Danio rerio: one gene and its partners. The protein of the gene in region 3 purifies or fractionates together with the protein of the main gene of each other region. This does not show direct contact. Links are inferred from orthologs where the notes say so. Each region holds a gene or a part of one and is shown on either strand. Other genes may lie near its edges.

Evidence for each region.
Region 1: the proteins of med18 (region 3) and cdk19 purify together in Homo sapiens (affinity purification with mass spectrometry; 5 studies listed by BioGRID and IntAct, counting the BioPlex papers as one, with this or other methods). This does not show direct contact. The link is inferred for Danio rerio from reciprocal best matches to the Homo sapiens genes MED18 and CDK19.
Region 2: the proteins of med18 (region 3) and cdk8 purify together in Homo sapiens (affinity purification with mass spectrometry; 5 studies listed by BioGRID and IntAct, counting the BioPlex papers as one, with this or other methods). This does not show direct contact. The link is inferred for Danio rerio from reciprocal best matches to the Homo sapiens genes MED18 and CDK8.

Annotation. Positions count from the first base shown.
Region 1 is NC_133195.1:3,039,538-3,043,853, reverse strand, and holds the start of cdk19 (cyclin-dependent kinase 19), read left to right. Parts: upstream 1-1,363; 5' UTR 1,364-1,491; coding exon 1,492-1,619; intron 1,620-4,316. Other genes in the region: amd1 (S-adenosylmethionine decarboxylase proenzyme), read right to left, coding at 169-278.
Region 2 is NC_133199.1:25,415,292-25,418,946, reverse strand, and holds part of cdk8 (cyclin-dependent kinase 8), read right to left. Parts: intron 3,249-3,655; coding exon 3,087-3,248; intron 119-3,086; coding exon 1-118.
Region 3 is NC_133191.1:7,708,726-7,712,811, forward strand, and holds med18 (mediator of RNA polymerase II transcription subunit 18), read right to left. Parts: upstream 2,902-4,086; 5' UTR 2,636-2,901; coding exon 2,563-2,635; intron 791-2,562; coding exon 237-790; 3' UTR 90-236; downstream 1-89. UniProt on the Homo sapiens protein: Component of the Mediator complex, a coactivator involved in the regulated transcription of nearly all RNA polymerase II-dependent genes.

The DNA of each region.
Region 1 (4,316 bases), on a different chromosome or scaffold from region 3:
CTGATCACGCCACGGGTGTCAGAGCCTGCGCCACATGTCACTCCGCCAGACCTCCTGACATTATCACAGCGTTTCACACACGATTTAAGCCCCAAACGGAGCGTCTGGCTCGGTGAAATCCAGCCCCGCTCCGCCCGAGGCACCCGCGGCTCGGACGGACTCACTCACCTAGGGATTGTGCGCAGATCCCCGGTTCCTTTGGCTTCGTCCTGCCGGGAGAACCACACCTCCAGGAGCTTCTCGGTCCCCTCGAAGAAGTGTGCACTGCTCTCTTCCATCGTGAGACAAACAGACTCCAACAACAGAAAATAAACCGTCGGATGGAATCACAAATTATGTAGTCCTTCGTTGGCGGTTATAACTTAATAGCTTAGTTACAGTCCTTGAGCAGTCCAGATGTAGTTGCCTTATTTTTTTGTTTGTATTTACCGTCTTCCCTTTTACAGAGAATACCGTAGGCGAGTGCTAGCTAATATCGCCGGCCATACTGTGTAAGCGCAGAACGGCAGTCTGCGCGGAGCTTTTATTACCTACCCGACGACGTCATTCTCGTCGTTGCCAATCGCGGCGAGGGAGCCACCCTCAGGTCTACAGCGATTGGTTGAACGGATATCAGTCAAGCGGGATGTTGCGTAAAAGTATGAGTTCACGCTGTAGTAGCGCGTGTGTGAGTGTGTGTCCTTGTATAGATGAGCAAACATTTGCGTTGCTATTGACCTTATTCTAAAATGCGGAAGTGCGCCTGTTTTCGCGATTGTCTTAGAACTTCCGATTCAGTCGCCTATGGGAGAAATGACTAGGAATAATAAACGACAGAAAATGGCCAAACTACTTGCTCAACAAACAAATGTTTGCATGACTACACAGACCAAGTAGCATAATATAATAAGAAAATATTAAATTGCAACATCAAGCAGCGTAACGTGCAGTTGTTAACGTCAAAAAATGAATGGAAGTGAATGTGACCGGAAGTCGCGAGACAAAAAGATTCAAATGGCAGCGCCCGCTCGTCAGCTGAGAATAAGGTGAATAACGCTGAGCCACTGCACAAATAATTGACTCCCATTTATCTAGCACTCTCTTTGAAAAAGAAAAAAACTGTTAGGTTATGTATTCCACACATTTTATTAATTATGTTTAGTTATTATAAGCTTTTTTTCTGCCATTGTGCAAACACTCCAAGCGCTAACGTTCAGAAATGTTAGTTTTGAATCAGAGTGGAAAGACGAAAGGAGGATTTGTTCGCTGTAGTTTTTCAGATGTCCTGCCGCCGTCAACTCGAGCTGGCGCTCCATCAAACGGCACTACGCTCCCCACAATGCAACCCGCCACAATAAAATACGTCACCGAGCACGTGACCGTTAAGCGGAGCCGACCAAAATCCCAAACAAGGAAATGGTGGGGTAATAAAAACGATCGGATCATTTAATTAATGCATGTAATAATTAATATTTTATTTTCTTGTAAATTAAGAAATATTTATGGGTTAAAATGGACTACGACTTCAAAACGAAGCTCGCCGCCGAGAGGGAGAGAGTGGAAGATCTGTTTGAATATGAAGGTTGTAAAGTGGGTCGCGGCACATACGGGCATGTTTATAAAGCGAAGCGTAAAGACGGGTAAGAGACACGCGTTTGATTGACGCGTTTCACTCACTGCACGCGCTTCTGCTGTCTCTGGGTGTGCAGGAGCTTCATATGTGTCGGGGGAATTGCGCTGTTTTCTGTAGCCTGCGTGTGTGTGTGTGTGATTGTTTTTGTTTTCATGGACGCACTTCAAACGGTCCACCCCCAAACCAGCCAGCGTGATGCATGTTTCACTCTTGTGTGCAGGAGTTCACTGCAAATCAGTTCCTCTGTCCAGAAGTTGCATGCGTTTGAAGTCCACTGTGAGTTTGTGTGCTCGGATGAGAAGATGTCATGTTTACATGTGCTGGAATTCAGAGGCTCACCTGTGCACGAGTTGACATACTCATTTACGCAGTATAACAGCTGCCCACTTCTTCATAAGTGCACAAGCTCTTGCGTGCTGGAGTTTATGGAGCATCTGTGATCGAGTTCACGTGCTTGCAGTGTGTGTGTGTGTGTGTGTGCTCTTATTTATACAGGAGTCAATGTGTGCTCAATAAAGGGGTCCTCTTATGACACTTTACACAAGATGTAAAATAAGTCTCTTATGTCTCTAGAGTGTGTGTGTGAAGTTTCAGCTCAAAATACCACACAGATAATGTTTTATATCTCTCTGAAATGGACCCTTTTAGGCTTTGATCCAAATCATGCTGTTTTGGTTACTGTCACTTTAAATTTAAAGCATAGCAGCAGATTCGAAACAGGACTAAAGTTTCTTTGTGAAAAGATGAAAATGTGGTGGCGATGCAGTAAGTAGCACAACCTACTGCGCCACCGCATCTCCAATTTTTTAAATATCTGTGTGATATTATTTTCTGTGGTGGTTCATTCCGCTGCTGCAACCCCTGATAAGTACGAGAGTACAGCCTGGTTTATACTTCTGCGTCAAGTGATCGGCGTGACCCACGGCGCATGCAACGCGCGTAGCCGTGCATTCATACTTCTGCGCGCTATTTCTGATGTTCTGCAATAACACTTCCGAAAAGCTTGTCGGCAATGAGGTGTTAATGTTCCTCTGTGTTGAGTTTATTCGCTGGCGTTTTGTTTTTTCTGAACGCTCAAACTCGCTTATTTTGAGGCAGGAACCGGCGGACATGCAACAACTTTAATCATAACCCACATAGCAAAGTTTCTCTGGCCCAGCTGTGGCCCACACAATCAGGTTTTGCTTGGCCCACATGCCGCAGTGAATTACGGTACATGACTGGACCAAATCTGGCTTCCAGACAAGGGCCAAACACGGACCATATCTGGGCCAAGTCTCAGCCAAGTTAATAACTCATAACTGGGCCTGAACTGGGCCAGATAGGTTGGTGTGTCACGATTGCAATGAAATTGATAAACCCATGGAGTGATGCGCTTTAGGCACACTATGGGCACGCTTTTTCTCAAAGTGACCTGATTGGTAGAATTTATTTTCTTTACTAAAAAATGATTTTAGTGTATTTTAAATGTGGGTCAAAACTGGCCAAACTCACATGGCCCACTTATCAAATTTTTAAATCTGGGCCAAATACTACGTTTTTCATCTGGCCCAAATCTTGTGTGCCGCCTCTGCCAAACCCGGGCCATGTTTGGCCCACATGCTGTATGCCAGTGCCGGATGAATGCCTGCTGTGCCAGCTTTATGCCAAATCTGGGCCAGAATTCTTTGCTACTAGGGAAGGTAAACACAAAGCAAAACCTTTCATCCGGAGCTCCATCACGGGACTCCACACTTGTAAACAATCGCTTCATCGGCCTCGCACAGCTCTCGGTCCCGCCCACACTTGTCAGCGATTCCAAGCTAACCAATCCCAGAGCTTGCGCTACATGTCGTTGCGATGTGTAGTTCCATTTTTTGAGAGGTGCGTGTCAGCGATGGCCACGGCGTTGGGCTATGCGTCAGCGCGTAGGCTGTGCTGTAGCATACGCGTGCGCTTGATGCAGAAGTATAAACAGCCTTAAGCTGGTTTGTGTTCACACTGTTTTTTCCTTCTGAACCCCGGTACGCTTGCGTCATCGAGCTGCTGTTTTGTTTACAGCCGTTGCTAGGTGACGGTCACGAAAGCAAGAGGCGAAATGGACAAGGCCTAATTTAATGATTTACGCTTAGCTAATAGTAACTGCCAAGCTGGGAAACCCAATGACAGAGGTGAGACACAGGTCGTATATGTTTGTTTCCATGACCCACAGGGTTTGTTGCATGTTTTCCCCCCTGATCCTGTCCGGGCCGATACAGCAACGCTGTTTGTTTGCAGCAAGCATTTTTTTCAGGAAAGCGTCAGACTTTGTCTTTTATCATTTATTCATTCATTTTCTTGTCGGCTTAGTCCCTTTATTAATCCAGGGTTGCCACAGTGGAATGAACCACCAACTTATCCAGCAAGTTTTTATGCAGCGGATGCCCTTCCAGCCGCAACCCATCTCTGGAAAACATCCACACACACACACTCATACACTACGGACAATTTAGCCTACCCAATTCACCTGTACCACATGTCTTTGGACTGTGGGGGAAACCGGAGCACCCGGAGGAAACCCACGCGAAGGCAGGGAGAACATGCAAACTCCACACAGAAACGCTAACTGAGCCGAGGTTCGAACCAGCAACCTTCTTGCTGTGAGGCGACAGCACTACCTACTGCGCCACTGCCTCGCCACTTTGTCTTTTATCAGTGGAGTTAATTACCATCAGGTTACCATTGA
Region 2 (3,655 bases), on a different chromosome or scaffold from region 3:
GATGGGTCTGGTGCGAGTACTGTGGAGGCTGCTGGGAGGTAGAGGAGTATCCCATGCTGCTTTGGGGCAATGATGTGCTTGGTCCTGGGTTCTGGTAGGCAGCATGTGGATTGGAGCGCTGAAAAACAGAGATTAAACAGTGTTGGTGACATACTGGGTTTCCAAAACAATTGTGGAAAAGAAAAAAATTGGGCATAAAGTTTGTTTAAAAGAATAGTTCTCCAAAATAAAAAAACTTTAAAAGTACAGTATGTAAGTTTGACACCCAGTGGTTAAACTAGGTACTGCACTCCTGGATCAAAACAGATTTTCATTTGGCTCCTCCTCTGGCAAATCCGTGCGCAGGTTGCCAGAATGAAATGTGCCTGACTATTGAGCCTAAAGGCTGATTTTCACCGTTTTCCAACTAAAAGCAATGGTATGCGATAGAAGGTATATTTTCTATACTAAAAGGAGCTTTTGTCCAAACCAAGAACTGAAATTTCTATTTTAGAAACAGCTTCTATTTCTCACTGGTTAATAGCAATCAACTTAGGGTACTCCTCATGTGCTTTATTCACTGTCAAATTCTAATTATGCGAGTTTGAATGCCATTTTACAAGACATTTATTGCCATACTACTGAAAGCAGCAGCAGACAGTTCACCTCAGATCTCGAAAATAAAATAAACCGTTTGATACTGAACTATACAGCTGTGACTCAGTGGAAGACAACACATATTAGTGATTCAGCATGTACATTTAATAATGTTAAATAGGTTTCATATGTATCAATTTAATTATAAACCTTACCATTACGCTGGAGTGCAGTGCGTGCACTATTCTGTGCTTCTGAATGGCTGTATTTAAATTACTGTTGTTTTTCATCTGGTGCAAACAGCCAAATGTAAATCTCTTCACATAGTATGTTGTTAGGACACGGTTATACAATGTATTCTGCTCACCTAATGTTTACATTCCTAATCTTAGTATTATTTGCTAATTAAAAGACACCTCGTTGATCTCTAAATCTGCTACTGTTAACCGGAGGTTGCATTTCAGTCGCAGACACATGCTTAAAATATAATTAGGCAAACTGGGACTGGGCGGGTGAAAAGAACCAAAACAAAGACAGAAGTTCTGGCACATTTTTAAAGCAGAATATCTGACTGTAGCATTGTGTTTTAGATAAACAAAAATCTTCACTTGGCATGTTTCTTAATTATCAGCAAACATATTATTGTAATTGTACGCTTTAGAAGAGTAAAAAAAAATATATATATATTTATTTATATATATATTTATTTCTTATATACAGCATCCTTAAAAATGTTGTTTATTTACCCTCACACCGTGTCCTAACTGCATGCGATGTGACAATATTGCAGTGATAAGCAATTTGTCTGTATGCACTAAACGCAACAGAAACATTTAACTTTAGCCACTCAGAAGCACAGAACAGTGCACCAGACACCCAATAAAATATTAGGGTTTTTAATTAGAATATGAATTTTTTCATTGTAGTATCGTACAACACAATTTGTTTGGTAGCTTTTAGACTCTGACAGCAATAAGAAATATAGAACAAATAAACAAAAGTATCAACAATAAATACTTATCAAAACTATTCAACATTATTAAAAGTACATGGGCAACTGAGTAAATGATGTTGCTGGTTTGCAGTCAAAGTTCTCACTTTCATTTTCAAACTATTTGATAGTTATTTTATTTAAGGTCTGTGGTAAAATATGTGCTTCTGCTTTCAGTATGGCAATAAATGTCTTATAAAACTGCATTCAAACTCACATGGGTAGACTTTGACAGTGAATAAAGCTCGTAATCAGTACCTGAAGTGATCATTGTCATAGTAGTTTATACTGTTGTTCAGGCACAACATCGCAACAAATGGAAATAGAGTGAAATTTTGTACAACATCTACAGACGGTTCGGACAAAAACTCTTTTTACATGGAAAAGGAAGTGCATAAAGGGCATAAAGTCAATTGCTACTGGCACTTTGAGAGCTAAAAAAAAACATACACAAAACAAAATACACAAGGAATGAGGATTTTATGAAGAGAATAAAATCAGGCCACATAAGTAAAATATTGTTCCATTTCTTGCACAGACTGATTATTTATAAGGCCTTGTCGTATATTTAGGAGCGCAAGTAATAATTTTGTGTTGCCTGTATATTTTTTTGAGTGCCTGAAGCTACAGATTTGCATGTAGAAATCACCAAAGACAAAATCTTCTATAATGTTCTAGTGAAGAAAAAAGCCACCTACATCTCAGATGAAATGAGGGAGCATAAATGAACAGCAGTTCATTTTTGGGTGTACTTTCCCTTTAAGATCCTAAAGCTTGCAACCAAATGGTTGTGTCAATGTTTTGAATGCAAAATTTTACTAGGTGGTTCATTTTAGTTTGCGGTAAGGATAAAAATGAATTGAAGAGTGCCAAAATTAGAGTTCTTGTCACTTTATGATGAATTACTCTGTATAAAAATATGTGCTAATTGAACAGATCTAAATGAAAAAGTGCTAAAATTACCAGTAAATATGCTGTTTCTCTGGATTTCATAGATTTATTAGGTATAAACTTGAGTTGTATTTTAACTTTATTAGTCCTCAGCATTTAGTTTTAAAGCATATTTTGACAACTAGTCAGAATAACCAACATGTTCATTTATTGGGGTTGAAAATGAGGCCTAAATTTCCCCAAAATTAAATTAAATGAAAATTTCACCAAAAATGTTATCTTCTGTAAATATAAAACTTGTAACGTGATGTTTAAATTAATATAAAAAATGTTATATTGTTATTAAATGCAAAAAAAAAAAAGAGTCTGCATATTTTATATGTGGAAGAAATATAATCATCGGTTTAAAAAAAAAAAAGTTTTATTTAAAGGCATAACTACAGTAATAAATTAGTCTTTGTTGCATACAATATCAAAAAAGTGTCATGTATATTACAAAGAAACAAAATTGTCTGGAGAAACACAAGATTCATCAGTTATTTGATTATTACGACTGGTGGGCAACTTGCAGCAATTTTCTAGCCTGTCTGTGAAAATGAAGATGAATGTGTGTGTTTTGAGGCGTTACCTGGTAATCTGAGGTCATGATCAGGCCACTTGAGGTAGTGGTGGGCGGAACCACTCTCACCTTCTTCAGAGGCGGGCCTTGTGCGTGGCTGTTGTCAGGGTTACCTGTGTGCCCTGCCCCATTGGTGTGGTTGTTCCCCTGCTGCTGCTGCTGCTGGTTTTTCTGCGGTTGTGAGACACAAGAGAAAATACTTCTCTTAAAAAAACAGTAGAAGATCTCCAAATCATGTCAAAATGAATTATGCAGAGTGGGGTATTTTTTCTTTTAAATGGTTGATTAAATAATAAAATATTAATTTAATTCTAAAGGTCCTGATATACCTCAAGCATATTCAGAAAACATATTGGGTTCTGTTCTTCATACATGGATCACTCAATTAGCTGGATTTGATTATTTAATATTATTTGATTATTTAACAAGATCCAGAATAGTTCCATTCCTCAAAACATATCTGAGAGTTGTTGTCAAAGCAACAGTTCAAAAATCTGCTCATCAGCAGGACAATTTCAAATACAAAACAAACAAAAGAGGTTAGATTGAATAATTTCAAGCAAAGGTGATTCTGAATG
Region 3 (4,086 bases):
TGCGTAAAAAACTTGCTGGATAAGTTGGCGGTTCATTCCGCTGTGGCGACCCCGGATTAATAAAGGGACTAAGCCGAAAAGAAAATGAATGAATGAATGAATATTTTTATTTAAAGATTTTAATTAGCATTTCATCAATTACAAAAAAAGAAAACAATCATCAAAAATATTCCAAATAAATGCAGTCTTAACACCTATTCACCGAATTAAAAATCTCAGTCTGTAGGTCATGTTCTCTACATGAGTCTTTTGGGATCAATCTTCTCCAGGTGAACGAGAGGTTTGAGCTGTTCTGCGAAGCTCCTCATGTCCTCAGACACAGTGTCCTGTCCCGCAGGAGCCAGAACGCTCAGCTCAACAAGATACGACAGAGAGAGCGGCTCCGTGTTATCCGTGTTTCCAGGAACCAGCACACGCGACAGTTTGCTCACCACCACCTTCATCACACCCTTCCGGAACACCTGACCCTTGGCCACGAACTCATGGTCCATGCGGAAGCCCATCTCATTGAGGAAGTCAGGCAAGCTGTGCGAGGCTGCCACGTCCACGCAGTTCCGCACCAGGGCATGACGGCTTTTGTCGCCCACCTCGGGCTGACCCAGATAGCGCAGGTGCCAGGGGACGGAGGGGTCGAGGAGCGAGCGGCGGGCACGCAGGATGAACGGGTTGCCCTGCTGACCTTTCAGGAGATACACCAACTCGTGATCAGCAAAGCTCTCAGGCTCCATGTTATCACACAGGCCCCGGAGGCGATGCAAGAGACTCTCCAGAGATTGGTCCAGTACACTGCCTGTGCCAAACAAACCAACAGAACACAGCCAAGTCAAGATGGATAGATAGATAGGGGGTGGGATGGATGGATGCATAGATTAGGGGCATAAATAGATAGATAGATAGATAGATAGATAGATAGATAGATAGATAGATAGATAGATAGATAGATAGATAGATAGATAGATAGATAGATAGATGGATGGATGGATGGATGGATGGATGGATGGATGGATGGATGGATGGATGGATGGATGGATGGATGGATGGATGGATGGATGGATGGAAGATTAGATGGATGGACGGACGGACGGACGGACAGATAGATAGATAGATAGATAGATAGATAGATAGATAGATAGATAGATAGATAGATAGATAGATGGATAGATAGATGGATGGATGGATGGATGGATGGATGGATGGACGGATGGGGGATGGATGGATGGATGGATGGATGGATGGATGGATGGAGGGAGGGACGGATGGAGGGACGGACGGACAGACAGACAGACAGATAGACAGACGGACGGACAGACGGACAGACAGACAGACAGATAGGGGAATGGATGGATGGATAGATAGATAGATAGATAGATAGATAGATAGATAGATAGATAGATAGATAGATAGATAGATAGATAGATAGATAGATAGATAGATAGATAGACAGACAGAAAGACAGACAGAAAGACAGACAGAAAGACAGACAGAAAGACAGACGGACGGACGGACGGACAGATAGATAGATAAATGGATAGATAGGGGAATGGATGGATGGATAGATAGATAGATAGATAGATAGATAGATAGATAGATAGATAGATAGATAGATAGATAGATAGATAGATAGATAGATAGATAGATAGATAGATAGATAGATAATTTAAGCCTGTTCCTATACATCAATAAAAATAAAATTGTAATTGTGACTAATTTGTCTCAAGTAATGTCACAATTTCTCGCAATGTGGTGTCAATTTCTTAGTTAATGCTTAATAAGTCACTAAAAAAAAGATGTAATTGTTTTAATAAATTTAGTTATTAAATAATACATTTCAGTTGTATTTTTTTACTTACATTAACTTATTAACTGTAATAAATGTCGATATCCCTCACTGTGGCTTTTTGTTTTAATGTATGAACTAAGATTTACTAATGAGACCATATTTTGAAAGTGTTATTGATTATACTTTATGAATTAGCTGTATAATTTTGTTAAAAATGTATTTACTCCGAACACACACAAATCTGGTAACGGTTTAAGTAGGAATGGTAATATATGACCAAATAAGCAAACTATATTATGCAAACAATAAGACTCAGCAAAAAGAACTCTCGTGTAGCACAGTGCATGCTATAATTGTATAATTTAAATTATAACAATTGTAAATTATAATACTACAAACACTACAATGAATACATTGTATACATACTATTATTATGCTAAACTATTCGTTTTATATAACGTTAGCACATTCATAAAGTAATACTGTAGTACATGTTTTTATTATACAGAATCCCAAATTAAAAGTCTTAAGGAATTAAAGAAGATTAGGGTGCGTTAAATAAAAATAGTTTAAAACGCTAGAAAATGTGTGTGTATTGTTTATAATTACATATTCACTTTAACATATTCAACGCTTTATTCAAATGACTTTGCTAATTAAAAAATTGAGATTGCTCATAATGGGTATTTAAAAACTAAGTTAAAACTATTTAATAAAGTGTAACAAATGATAAATAGGAATGAATGAATGGTAAAAGGAGTTGTGCTGATGGTGTTGTTTACCTTGCAGAAGATACTCCATCATGTTTATAGTTCCACCCGTGACGGGCATCACAGTAACCGGCGGAGCCTCCATCACTCTATTATTATTACTATTACTAGTATTATAATTCTGAACTTAAGTCTCTTAATACATTTACAGTCAACGATCAGTTGAAAGATTAACTTAAACTAGAACTTTAACTGCTGTAGAAAACATCCACAACAATAGACATGCTAAGACGTGTTAGAAGATATTATCAACAAAAAGCAGGCAGACGATGAATTAAAAATAGCATATATTGTACTTGTATCAAAAAGCAATAAACAAAACTAATGATTTGCGTAAAATACTACGAAAAAATAATGTGTCTCGATGAAACTGCGTCCATGTGAGTAAAGCGCATGCGCAGTATGGATAGCGAGTACTGCGCATGCGCATTGTGCAACGCTTGCTCTATTCTTTTAGGCGTGCATTTAGTGACACCTACTGGACTGAAGTGAACTCTTTATCATATAAAATGGGTATTAAAATTGAGTATTATTAGCCTATTATTAATAGCAGGAGAACATCAATTATGGTTGCGAAAAGCCGATTGCCCTGTTGATCAAATTCAAGTCAAGGTGTTTGCTTGCAGAAAAACTAATGGCTCTAAGAGGTGGGTGTGATTTTGCCAATGCAATCATGGAGTGACATCTATCCTGGAACATGTCCTACATGAAGAAATAATTAGGCTATTCCTAAAATACAATATATTTTTTTTTATGGAGTAATGGAAATCACTATTTTAAAATGGAAAATTATGTGTAAACAAAAATGCAATGGTGGGTTATCGGTGTTCATTTTTTAAAACTTTAAACAATACATTCAAAATTAATTGGTTAATTAAATACAAGAAAGAAAAAGACAGTAAATGGTATACTTTTCCATATGGCGCAGTAGGTAATGCTGTCGCCTCACAGCAAGAAGGTTGTTGGTTCGAGCCTCGTCTGGGTCAGTTGGCGTTTTTGTTTGGATTTTGCATGTTGAATGTCCCTCCCTGTAGGGACTAAGCCAAAAAGAAAATGAACGAATGAATGAATGAATGAATGAATGAAGTTATATTTTGTGTCAAAATTTAGTCAATGAGGGAAGTTACTTTAAGTATATTATACGTTTCAGTGCACTGGCAGGACTTTTTTTATTAATATTGTTATTATTATCATCATCATCATCATCATTTATTATTATTATATTGTTATTTTATTATTTATTTTTTCTAGCATTTTCTTAGTTATGTGCATTTCTCATAAATACCTAGTTTTATAAGCTCACGTTAAGCATATTTTCCAAAAATTATATTGTTTTAATAATTGTTATTATTTCATATCATATTATTTCCAAATAGCTTAAACATGCATATTTACCATTTACATGCAGTACGTACGTATGAACCAATGGTATGAACCATGAACGCAAAGCAGTCGAGTAACTTTTATTGTGGAAAACATTAAATGCACTGTGACGTTTATTTTGAAAATAAATCGACATGTGGAGACCTTTATTTT